3 linked regions of the Macaca fascicularis genome follow. The protein of the gene in region 2 purifies or fractionates together with the protein of the main gene of each other region. This does not show direct contact. Links are inferred from orthologs where the notes say so. Each region holds a gene or a part of one and is shown on either strand. Other genes may lie near its edges.

The links. Proteins that work in one complex are often made in the same cells at the same time.
Region 1: the proteins of FGF11 (region 2) and UBE2O purify together in Homo sapiens (affinity purification with mass spectrometry; 3 studies listed by BioGRID and IntAct, with this or other methods). This does not show direct contact. The link is inferred for Macaca fascicularis from reciprocal best matches to the Homo sapiens genes FGF11 and UBE2O.
Region 3: the proteins of FGF11 (region 2) and AHCYL1 purify together in Homo sapiens (affinity purification with mass spectrometry; 3 studies listed by BioGRID and IntAct, with this or other methods). This does not show direct contact. The link is inferred for Macaca fascicularis from reciprocal best matches to the Homo sapiens genes FGF11 and AHCYL1.

The regions. Positions count from the first base shown.
Region 1 is NC_088390.1:82,842,952-82,846,451, forward strand, and holds part of UBE2O ((E3-independent) E2 ubiquitin-conjugating enzyme), read right to left. Parts: intron 3,234-3,500; coding exon 3,124-3,233; intron 2,981-3,123; coding exon 2,830-2,980; intron 2,605-2,829; coding exon 2,132-2,604; intron 1,672-2,131; coding exon 1,517-1,671; intron 1,266-1,516; coding exon 1,153-1,265; intron 1,065-1,152; coding exon 936-1,064; intron 577-935; coding exon 484-576; intron 1-483. UniProt on the Homo sapiens protein: E2/E3 hybrid ubiquitin-protein ligase that displays both E2 and E3 ligase activities and mediates monoubiquitination of target proteins. Negatively regulates TRAF6-mediated NF-kappa-B activation independently of its E2 activity.
Region 2 is NC_088390.1:7,485,129-7,489,103, forward strand, and holds the start of FGF11 (fibroblast growth factor 11), read left to right. Parts: upstream 1-1,175; 5' UTR 1,176-2,523; coding exon 2,524-2,716; intron 2,717-3,975. Other genes in the region: TMEM102 (transmembrane protein 102), read left to right, coding at 1-417.
Region 3 is NC_088375.1:124,301,820-124,305,319, reverse strand, and holds part of AHCYL1 (S-adenosylhomocysteine hydrolase-like protein 1), read left to right. Parts: intron 1-423; coding exon 424-567; intron 568-1,574; coding exon 1,575-1,675; intron 1,676-2,111; coding exon 2,112-2,214; intron 2,215-3,500. UniProt on the Homo sapiens protein: Multifaceted cellular regulator which coordinates several essential cellular functions including regulation of epithelial HCO3(-) and fluid secretion, mRNA processing and DNA replication.

The DNA.
Region 1 (3,500 bases), about 75 Mb from region 2:
GAGGAAAGCTGGGCTGTGTGGCTCCAACCAGGAGGCGAGGGAAGGAGAGCCCATGTAGCTCTTCTGCTCAGGACCCAGCAGCTGGGGTTAGAACTGCACCAGCTCCTTTCTCTCCTTCTCTGTTAGAGCTTTCTAGAAAAGGTGGTAGGAAAGTTTCCATCTCCTTTTAGGAGGGAACTTGCATTCTTCGCAGCACAGTGAGCTGACAATCCAGGAAAATCCTGGAGGTCTGTGAAAGTCTACATGCACCAGCGATGGATGGCCGGGAAGAGACTGCTGGGAGAAGCGAGGCTGGTGGGCCAACTGCGGGCTGCCCCCAACCCTGCACCAAGGGCTGTGTGGAATGCCTGCCTTGCCCCCTCATGCTTTTGCTGAGATCTCACCAGGAAGACCTGAGAGCCCATCTTCTGGCTACACGACTATGGTCCCCAGCCCAAGCTGCCATAGTCACAAGCCCAGTGGGGGGTCTTGCCAGAGCCTCACCTGGGGCAGGATGATGGTCTTTGAGTTGTCAGCCCACACCACCTCCACCTTGCTGCTGACGTCCACACGGGCCACCTGGCCCACCGATGGCTGCTGGGCAAAGGGGACAAAGTCAGGGGGTCCAGCTCAAGCTCCAGCTCCCCAGCCCCTCCTGTGCTCTGCAGTGACTGACATCATGCCCACCCAGCTCGTGATAAGAACTTAGCTCCTCTGGTAAACGTAACCAGCGGCAGCTGAAGAAGCCTGACCCCAGAAGCGAGGCAGGGAAACAAGTCCTTCTGCAGCTGCTAGGGCTGAGCAGCAGCTTGACTTTGGGGCAGCTGCCCTGGGGACACTGAGCCCAGAGGACTTTCAGGTCTTGTCTCCTAGAGCCACCTGGTGGCAGCATCAGGGACTGCAGCTGGTGCACAGGGCAGTGAGCAGCGATCCAGAACTTGAATTGGAAGGCACACCTCATCCTCCTTGTGAGGAGCCCCGTCCTCAGTATTGCCGATGCGGATGACGATGTCAGTTGTACGGAACCTAAAGTCAGGGTGGTCAGCAATGTCGTAAACACTCACGTCTTCCTCTTCTCCAATCAGCTGTGGCACAGGACAGGTTGTCATGAGCTACGGGTCCTACACCTAACCCCAGAGCCCACCTGAAGAAAGCAGTAGGGGCTGCACACACCTCCACGTCGTCCCCACTCGGCCGCAGCTTGAACCACTTCACCATGCAGGTGCGGCCGAGGTGGTCCCCAGACTGTACCACGCCGTAGACAGCAGGGTCTGGACAGCTCTGGACTAGGGAACCAGAGGAAGGGATGTGACTAGCTAAGGGATCCCGGCTAAGGAGCCGACATCTCAAGCCAGTGCAGGGTGCAAACTGTGACCTTCCCCCGTCTTGGAAGTGGTGAGACCCCTTCATGAGGGCAGTCCCCTTCTGGACCTCATTTTAGCTCTGACCCCAGATCCACTGCCCATTCTCCACAAGCCCCAACCTGGGCCCTCACTGGCAACCACCCTGCTGGCTGCCCTTCCAGAGCTGGCACTACCTCGCTTATCTACCACGAAGTCTCCGGGGCAGAACTCGTTGTTGTCCAGGTGGTGCACAGGAAAGAGGTCGTTGGAGCGGATGTTGCATTCCACAGAGCCATCCTGCCACATCACGTCAGCTGAGGTCATCGTGGTCACCACCTCCACTGCCACCCTGCCGGATGCAGGCCAGTCAGCAGGCCATGCAAACGCCACCCCCGCCCACGGAAAGGGCAGAGAATCTTTTTGTCCCTTCCTGTCCCTGTGGGCTTAGTAACCTGAAACTCCGAATCCCAAGTTGGCAGGATGAGTTTCTGGTGCACAGGAAGCTCACCCAGGGTTCCGAGGCCATGCACTCTCTTGAGAACGAGACCCACTTGGGAGAGCTCAGGCAAATGTGTTCCCAGAAGGCCAAGCTTAAGGCCACCACCATCCCACCCTCTGCACCACTCCTCAGTCTCCGCTTTCCACCAGGGCCTACCCCAGGCACCTACGCTGTCTCGGATGGGCGTCCCTGAGCCACTACAAGGCATGCAGAGGTGTGTGTGCGAGCACAGGCACGCACACCCAGGGGACGCGCACTCTGCCTGGCTTCACGCTGACGCCGCTGGGGAGGGGCACAACTCTGAGTTTACCTGTCCCCTGGCTTGAAATCTCGAGTGATTTTATTCTTCTTCCTCTTGTGTTTGCGCTTTAAGTTCTTGATGGACAAGGGGATGCTCTTTTTGCGACTCGTGCCACTGCCGCTCTGGGAGGAAGTGGTGGAGCTGGCAGAGGAGGTCACTGAGCTGGTGTCGTCCGTGTCGTCAGCAGCCTCATCATCTGCGTCCTGCTCTGCCGAGTGCAGCCTGTCATCTCTGCCTTCTTTTAGCAGGAATGGGGGCAGCTGCTCTCCTGCCTCGTGGGGCTCCTCTGCACCTTCGTCCTGCATCTCCACTGGACTGGCAGAGCCATCAGGCGTCTCCTCGGGACTGGCAGACTCTGCTTCACTCTTGGCTTTGGTTTCCCCCTTCTTGTCTGGGTCTTCCATGGAATGGTCCCGGGAACACTGGGTGTCTGGAGAGCACGACATGATCCGCACAACCTGCTTCTTCAACAGGCGCTTCACCTGCAAGGGCGGAGCAGAGAGGACAGGGCTGTGAGGTGCACCTGGGCAGGCCTGGCCCTAGGCATCTCAGGCTGGGGGGATGACAGTTGTATACACCTGAGTAGCCGGCAAGGGTCATCAGGGCTGCCCCCCAAGGCCTAAAGCACAGACTGTCCTTTTTGGCCATGGAAATGGCTCAAGGCCAGTTCCTCAAATGCCCACCAACCCCCAACCCCAAGGACATACCTTCTTGGCCATAGAGCCCTCCCCCTGGGCGCAGTTTTTTTCTGGACATTCCCAGGCAATCTTGGCTGGCTCTACCTTGGCTGGGAAGACATACAGACAGCGCTCCCCAAGCTGCCGCTGAGCATGGTCAAAGCATCCGAGACGCTTCACCCTGGTTGGGAAAGAAGCAGGGGTGAGCTGAGCTGGACTCCTGGGAGGCCAGCAGTGTTCTTGAGCCTCCCCGGGCATGTGGCCAGGGCCCAGAGGCCTGTTCCGCGCGTGCCCCTGGGTTGCTGGCAGTAAGGGCGTGCTCACCTGCCTAGGTTTTCCTGGGTGATGACAGAGGGTGGGGGGCTGACGCTGTCCGTGCCCCCTGGACAGAAACTTTTGGTAATCCATGTAACTTTCAACTCTACAACCTGCACCTGGGGATGGCAGGTGGGACACGCCAGTCAGGGCAGGCTCTGACAGCACTCTCTTTAGCCAGTTGCCCAAAGCCCACTCGACCTCCAGAGCAGGAAACTGATCTTCCTAGTGTAGCACCAAGTACAGACACATCAGAGCAGACCCCAACTGTAACCACGGCCCACACCCAATGCCCAGGACCCGTGTCACTGCTCACACCAGCCAGGGGCCACTGGAACTGCTACTTGCCACCCTCCCACCTTGCTCAGCCTGTACAGGCTGGGCTG
Region 2 (3,975 bases):
GAGCTGGCGCTCAAAGCGCGCATACCAGCGCCGCTGCTACAGGCGCACGCGGCGGCCCAGGCGCTACTGCGCCCGCTGGTGGCCGGGACCCGGGCAGCGGCGCCCTACCTCCTGCGGACGCTGCTGTACTGGGCGTGCGAGCGGCTGCCCGCGCTCTACCTGGCGCGGCCAGAAAATGCGGGCGCCTGCTGCCTCGGGCTGCTAGACGAGCTGGGCCGAGTGCTCGAGGCTGGGACTTTGCCTCACTATTTTCTGAACGGCCGAGAGCTCCGTACCGGGGACGGCTCCGCTGCGCTGCTCGGAGAATTGGTCCGGCTCCGCGGGGACCCTGCCCGGGCCCTCCGTGCCGCGGTGGAGGAGGCCAAGGTGGCCCGCAAAGGGGGCGGTTTGGCCGGCGTGGGGGGCGGGGCCCATTAAAGATGCTGTTCCTACCAGTGGAAAGTGCCTCTGTGGGCGAGCGAGACGTGGGGGGCACAGCTCGCCCCTCGCCTGGGGGACTGACTGTGTGCCCTGGGCCTGAAGCCCCCCTTCTGGAAGGCCTCCCTGTTGGTTCCTCCTCTAGGACCACCCGCCTGCCCCGGCACAAGTTGCCCCATTCCAGCCTGGCTACTCTACACTTCTGTGGCCAGCACTCCGCCCAGGGGCAGCTTCCAGAAACCGTCTGTCCCCAGTTCTTTTGGTCATTTCTCTTAAGGGTCAATAGAAATGGGAGAAACATGTTTGCTGACCAAACGCGGAAAGGAGTTATGGAGACCAGGGTCTGATCAATTTGGCTCACACACAAAGGCAGAGATATGAAGGAGGCCGGATTTCGCCCGAGGCTGGATCTCACCACTACCCCTCCTCCATCTCTCCAGTTCTTCCCCCACTTTCCTCGTGCTGTTCTGTCCTCGCTAACATCCCGGCCAGTAGGGTCCCTTTCCATTCTCCCAGCGTCCGCCATTCCATCTCCCTTGGGCCCAACCTCTCCTTCCTATCCAGAGGTGCGTTCGGGAGGCCTTCTTGTCCCTCCTTCTCTGAAGGCTGAGACGTGCGGCCTTGCCTCGGCTTTGCCTGCTTGTAAGACACAGTCCGCGCTCTCTACCTCCAAGGAACCCCGGGGTTCCTCCTGCCCGGCTTCACCCTCCTATTTCCCAGCGTCTCCGCCCCCTGCCCCGCCCCCGGGCCGGCTCTCCGAGGAGGGGGAACTGCTGTCGCCGCCGCCGCCGCCTCAGCTTCCCACAGCCGCTGCCGCTGCCGCCGCTGCCGCCGCTCTGCCTGGTCCAGCCACCGGCCCAGTGCTCTGACTTCGCCGGACCGGGGAGCTCTGCAGAGACACCCTCACTCCTTCCCCAGGGTCCGGGACGCCTAGCCGGGCGTGGGGGGAAGCTCCGTTTGCGGGGGACAGGGAGGGAGGAGCCTGGAGCCGAAGCCAGCGCCACCCGTCGCCGGATCAACAGGACAGGACAGGTTGAGGGGCGTCGGGGAAAGGAAGAGGGGGTGCTATAGGCAATCCCGGGGAGGACGAGGAAGCCCTGTCGCAGGAAGCTGTGATCCGCTCTGACTTGTAGGGGGCCTGTTCACATTTGGGGACTGGTGACAACGTGGGTGCACTCCTCACTCGGGGGGCTGGTTAGATTGGAGGGCGTGGGATCTAAACAGCACCAGCTGTCCCCAAGAAAATTTAAGGGGCAGCCAGGGGAGAAAAAAAAAGCAAACACGGATGCTCCTCATTTTGAGGTGGCGGAAGGCCCTCCAGACAACTACGTGGTGTATCCACTAGGAAGGGTGGATTTGGAGGTGACTTCAAAAGGAGCGGAGGGTGTGAAGGTGAAGAAACGGTCTTGGCCGCTAGAATTCTATGCTACTAGACATGGGGGTGACTTGGTGAAAAAGCTGTTATCCAGCCAGAGGGTCTGGGAGCCCCGTCTTACTGAATCTGGGCAACCTGGATACTCTGAGACATATTTTGGGGAGATTTCAGTGAAAAAAGTGGGGGATCCCCTCCATTTAGAGTGTAGCAAAGGAAAAAACACCAAGGTTGGGTTCCTTCCTGACATTGGCAGTGCCCCAGTAGGGGTGGGATGAGCGAATATCCCCAAAGCTAAAGTCTCACACCCTGTAGATTACAAGAGTGGATTTGGTAGAAGTGTGCCCCCAAATACAGTGGAAAGGTGCCTGGAGATATTTTAACCACGTCTTGGAAATTTGGGGGGTCTTGGTTTTGGGATAGGTGAAGTGGGGACAGACACTAGAGAGGAGGGAAAGGGGACGTTTTCAGTAGGAGGCAAAACTCGAGGGTGGGATCCACTGAGGAGTACATAGGCTGCTGGATCCGGTGGAGCCAGCACTGGGCCCACGGGTGGCAACTGGCTGCTGTGGAGGGGTGTACGTGGGGTGGGGGGTTCTGGGGCTTATCCTCAGGTCCTGTGGGTGGGGCAGCGAGTCGGGGCCTGAGCGTCAAGAGCATGCCCTAGTGAGCGGGCTGGAGCCCAGCGCGCTCCTGGCGCTGGCCGGTTTGGGGGTGTCTCCTCCCGGGGCGCCATGGCGGCGCTGGCCAGTAGCCTGATCCGGCAGAAGCGGGAGGTCCGCGAGCCCGGGGGCAGCCGGCCGGTGTCGGCACAGCGGCGGGTGTGTCCCCGCGGCACCAAGTCCCTTTGCCAGAAGCAGCTCCTCATCCTGCTGTCCAAGGTGCGACTGTGCGGGGGGCGGCCCGCGCGGCCGGACCGCGGCCCGGGTGAGTGCGGCTGGGGCTGGGTCTCCCGGCCAGAGGTTTCTCTGCCTGGGAGATTGAGGCCAGGGACTCTGAAGGATAGGGCCCGGCTGAGGGGCTCCTCGAAAGTGGAAGGGGGTGGGCCAGGACTACAAAGTCCCTGCCAGACTGTGCCTCAGTTTCCCTTCTCTTTAGTCCATAACCCGGAGTCTCCTTATTTTCGAGGTCAAGGGGAAGGCTTGAGGGGCTAAGTCTGTATCCCCGAAAGCCTCGCAGTTCCTGCTTGTCCCCCCTCCCCAACACAGCAGTCCCCACCCCCATCGTCCTCCGCCTACGTGCCGGTTCTCGCGATTCTTTCAATCTGGAGCGGAGAGGCCTGGGGGTTTCCAGATGCCTGGGTCACCCCAAGGGTTTCTGCAGCTCCAGCAGCACGCCCCCCCAGCCCCTGCCCGCCCCGGTTCTCCCGCTCCTCCACGCCTGGGCTCGGTTCCTCCTGGTCGAGCTCTTCTGGCTCCGAGCCAATCTCCCCAGCTCTCCCTCGGGTGTCCTTGCAGCTACCTCGCCAGCCAGCCCTCTATGCGCCCTCCTCCCGTGACCTGCGCTTCAAGAACGGAGCTGGGCACCCCCTCCCATAACCCCCGCGCCACTCCGAAATCGGGTCCCGTAGGCTCAGGGGACCCTACGCTGGGAGGAACTCAGACACAGTTCACGGCTAGAGATCGGCGCAGACTCTTGGGGGTCGTACCACCTACAAGGGGGGACAGGGAAGTCGGCAGAGAGCAAGCGATGGGGGAGGAGAGTTCTGAGAGTTAGAGTGTGGTCCCCGTCCAGGTGCGACAGTCAGGGAGTCCCTCTGGCCCTGCTCCCGCCCGCTCCCAACTCCCTTAAGGGTAGCCCCCTCGCGCCCTCCTCCCCGCGCCACCGGCTGCCCATAGTGGTACAATCCGCAGCCCACCCTCTGAGTGGGACCGGGCCCCCACGTGACTCAGCCTGCCTTTCCATCTCCTCAGCTCCCACCCCCCATATCCTTGGTGATGTCCCCCTTACCCCAGGCGGGTTACCTGGCCGAAGGGGAGAGGCTGAGCCTCAGGGAGAGCTGGGCCCCCGCGAGCCAGCAGACAGACAGACAGACAGACGGGTCAGTGTCAGACAGACCGGCACCGGGCCAAGGCAAGGCTCTCGCCAAGCTAGCGGCAGCCGCAGCAGGTGCTGAGTCAGCGTCAGGCCCAGTCCCACCCCCACCCCTGAGGGAGAGCCCCTACCCTGTGGTCAATTTGCTGCTG
Region 3 (3,500 bases), on a different chromosome or scaffold from region 2:
ATGTGATCCTGACAGATGCTTGAATTTGAGAACCAGTAATCTACAGAAATACCGTTCCTTATCTGCCCTAAATTGTTCTTCTGTTTTTGCCAGGTCTAGTTCCAATCCAGATGGGACCAGGTACCTCTATTATCTGGGATTACTATAGCTGGTACAGGTTTAGAATCAGTAGTCCCTTATCACAGGCACTAATGGCATAATATTGTTAGGGTGGGTGAAAGAGCTGCAACACGGAAGCATCCACAACATTTTCATTCATACCACCAATTAGAGCCTAGAGGAGCAGAAGTGAGAGGGTTATAAAAGGTAACTCCAATTAAGAGTGTTCCCTTGACTTAAATGAAAGTCCCTTGGGGACTGCACTCTGTAGAGTTGGGGCCACTGAGGTTTTTCTATCCTTGTTTTTTTCTTTCCTGGCTCTAGCTGCATCCTACACAGATAGCTCTGATGATGAGGTTTCTCCCCGAGAGAAGCAGCAAACCAACTCCAAGGGCAGCAGCAATTTCTGTGTGAAGAACATCAAGCAGGCCGAATTTGGACGCCGGGAGATTGAGATTGCAGAGCAAGGTAAAGAAAGGGAGTGGTTTAGGGGACGAGAAACGACCCTCTTGTTGGCCATCAGAATCCACAAACAACTTAAGACTTGAAAGCTGACTTGAAAGTATACTGGGAAGAAAGTATTATGGACTTCCGGATACACACTTCTCTCTCTATGGAACTTGAGTCTCAGGATTCTTGTTCTCTCTTCCTTCTGTTCTCAGCATGTGGTGATGACACACAGAGTAGTTTCTGTTTTCCTCCCCGCCCCACCCCACCACCGTATTCAAAGATCTACATGGCAGAATTGGCAAGTCCTAGATCACTACTTGGTAGTTGGTTATATGGGATCTTACTATAGCTGCCAATGCCAGAGACCCAGATTGCCCAGAAACAGCTGATGAGGAAGGGTTTTAAGCTAAGGATGTGGTGACCTAGCGTCTTGTTTGGTCCTGAGCACCCTCTGCTGGAGCAGAGTAAAAGTGACTGACAAACAGTTGAATCTTGGTTTCCCTACCCCAACCACTCCCAGTAAGGTCCTCTTTACTCTTGTGTTGTTTACACATTGAAGGCATGTTCTTTACTGAAAGAGAATAGAGAAACCAAACAGACTGACAGGATACGGTAAGACAGCATAGAAAAACAGAAGTTAGTGATTTCAGCTGAGGGTACAGTCTTTCTGGTCTGATGATTTTATATATAGGGATCTGTTAGCCAGTGCCTTAACTACTTTCCTCTCTTCCCAAATGAATGATGAGATTTACCCTTCATTTTGATCAGTTTTAAGGATTTACTTCATTCTCTGTTCAGTCCTCTGTGTATAAAGCTGAAGCAGTAGAGGAAGAGAGAAACTCCAAGTGGTTGCATGACCGCTCTCCACTATTACTGTGCTGTTGAAGCTGCCAGTCATCATGAAAATAGGCTTAAAGTTTTTCTGTCTCATCTCACCGTATCTCAACAGATCCAGACCAGCCCTGGGGCAGGAACTGATGATACTGCTAGTGCAGACCTAGCTCAAATCCTCTGTTCTTTCACAGACATGTCTGCTCTGATTTCACTCAGGAAACGTGCTCAGGGGGAGAAGCCCTTGGCTGGTGCTAAAATAGTGGGCTGTACACACATCACAGCCCAGACAGCGGTGAGTTTGTTGGAAGAAAAGAGGGACTTCTGATAAGGGGAAGAAAGAAATCAATGTTTTTTTTTGTTTCACTTTTCCTTCCTAACTCACCAACCTCCAAATGCTAACTATTAGTAGGATCTCCCTGCTACACAATAGTGGGGTTTTCTGGGGGTTTTTTGTATGTGTAAACCCACTTTCAGCAAACTTAACCTAGGAAAGTCTAGATTTGCAAACATATGATTGTTATAAAATGTTATGAAGACTTTTAGAAACCTACGTTTTATGTAAAGTTAAACACCAGTGCACCACCTCGCTGGAGTACACCCCTTTCTAACTTCCCAGTGTAGCGCCTGTTGGTGCAGAGTTGATAGGTATTGTTATCTTGCTGAGGCTTGCTCTCCATTCCTGGGTGGCCCTTCTCTTCCTCACCCTGTCTTCCTATACCTCTACACAGGTGTTGATTGAGACACTCTGTGCTCTGGGGGCTCAGTGCCGCTGGTCTGCTTGTAACATCTACTCAACTCAGAATGAAGTAGCTGCAGCACTGGCTGAAGCTGGTAAGTTCAGTATTTTTTTTTTTTTTTTACCAAATTTGCCCCAAAATAGTTATCCAAACATATAACTTTTATGTATCAAAATTGTCATTACAATGTCATATATGTCTAGAGGCTGTAAAATTGGGGATGGTGAAAACCTCAACAGGAAGAATGTGGATAATAAAATTAAGATGTATATCCATGATGGAATATTATGTAGTCATTAAAAATGACCTTTGAAAATAATCTAATGGCATGGGGACATGCACAGTTCTGGTGTTAGTTGAACGAGGAAGAATGTTAAACTATATACGTGCTATCAGTTTTGTGAGAGAGCACAAGTAGGAAGTGCCTTTTATATTGATAGTGCATTAAATAATTTGGTATTCAGTATGGCATTGAAAATATATGAGCTATTCATGAGTTTAATTAAACAAAATAATTTTTTATTATTCAGGCCAGGCCTGGTGGCCCATGCCTGTAATCCCAGCACTTTGGGAGGCCGAGGCGGGCAGATCACTTGAGGCCAGGAGTTCAAGACCAGCCTGGCCAACATGGTAAAACCCCACCTCTACTAAAAATACAAAAGTTAGCCGGGAGTGGTGGTGTGCGCCTGTAATTTCAGCTACTCCGGAGGCTGAGGTAGGAGAATCACTTGAACCCGGGAGGCAGAGACTGCAGTGATCCGAGATCATGCCACTGCACTGCAGCCTGGGTGACAGAGTGAAACTCCATCTCAAAAATTAATAACAATAATAATAATTTTTATTATTCAAATGTTCAGAAGAAAATCACCATGAAGTTTCTTTGAGGACCTCTCATCTTTCTCTCTTCCCTTCTCTTTCTTCTCTTTCTCTTTCTCTTTCTCTTTCTCTTTCTCTTTCTCTTTATCAAGATGGAGCCTTACTCTGTTGCCCAGGCTGGAGTGCAATGGTGCAGTCTCGGCTAACTGCAACCCCTGCCTCCTGGATTCAAGTGATTATCGTGCCTCAGCCTCCTGAGTAGCTGGGATTGCAGATGCACGCCACCACACCCAGCTAATTTTTGTATTTGTAGTAGAGATGGGGTTTCACCATGTTGGCCAGGCTAGTCTCGAACTCCTGACCAGCCTGGATGTTTGATCTGCCTGCCTTGGCCTCCCAAAGTGCTGGGATTACAGGCGTGAGACACTGCACCCAGCCAGACCTCTCATCTTTCTAAGAACCTCAGAAAGTAACTTTATAATACTTCTGGGGTTTTTTGTTTATTCTTTTCTGATAAGTGTTTACTGCAAAAAATTTAGGAAGTTCCCAAAAAACCTACAATCC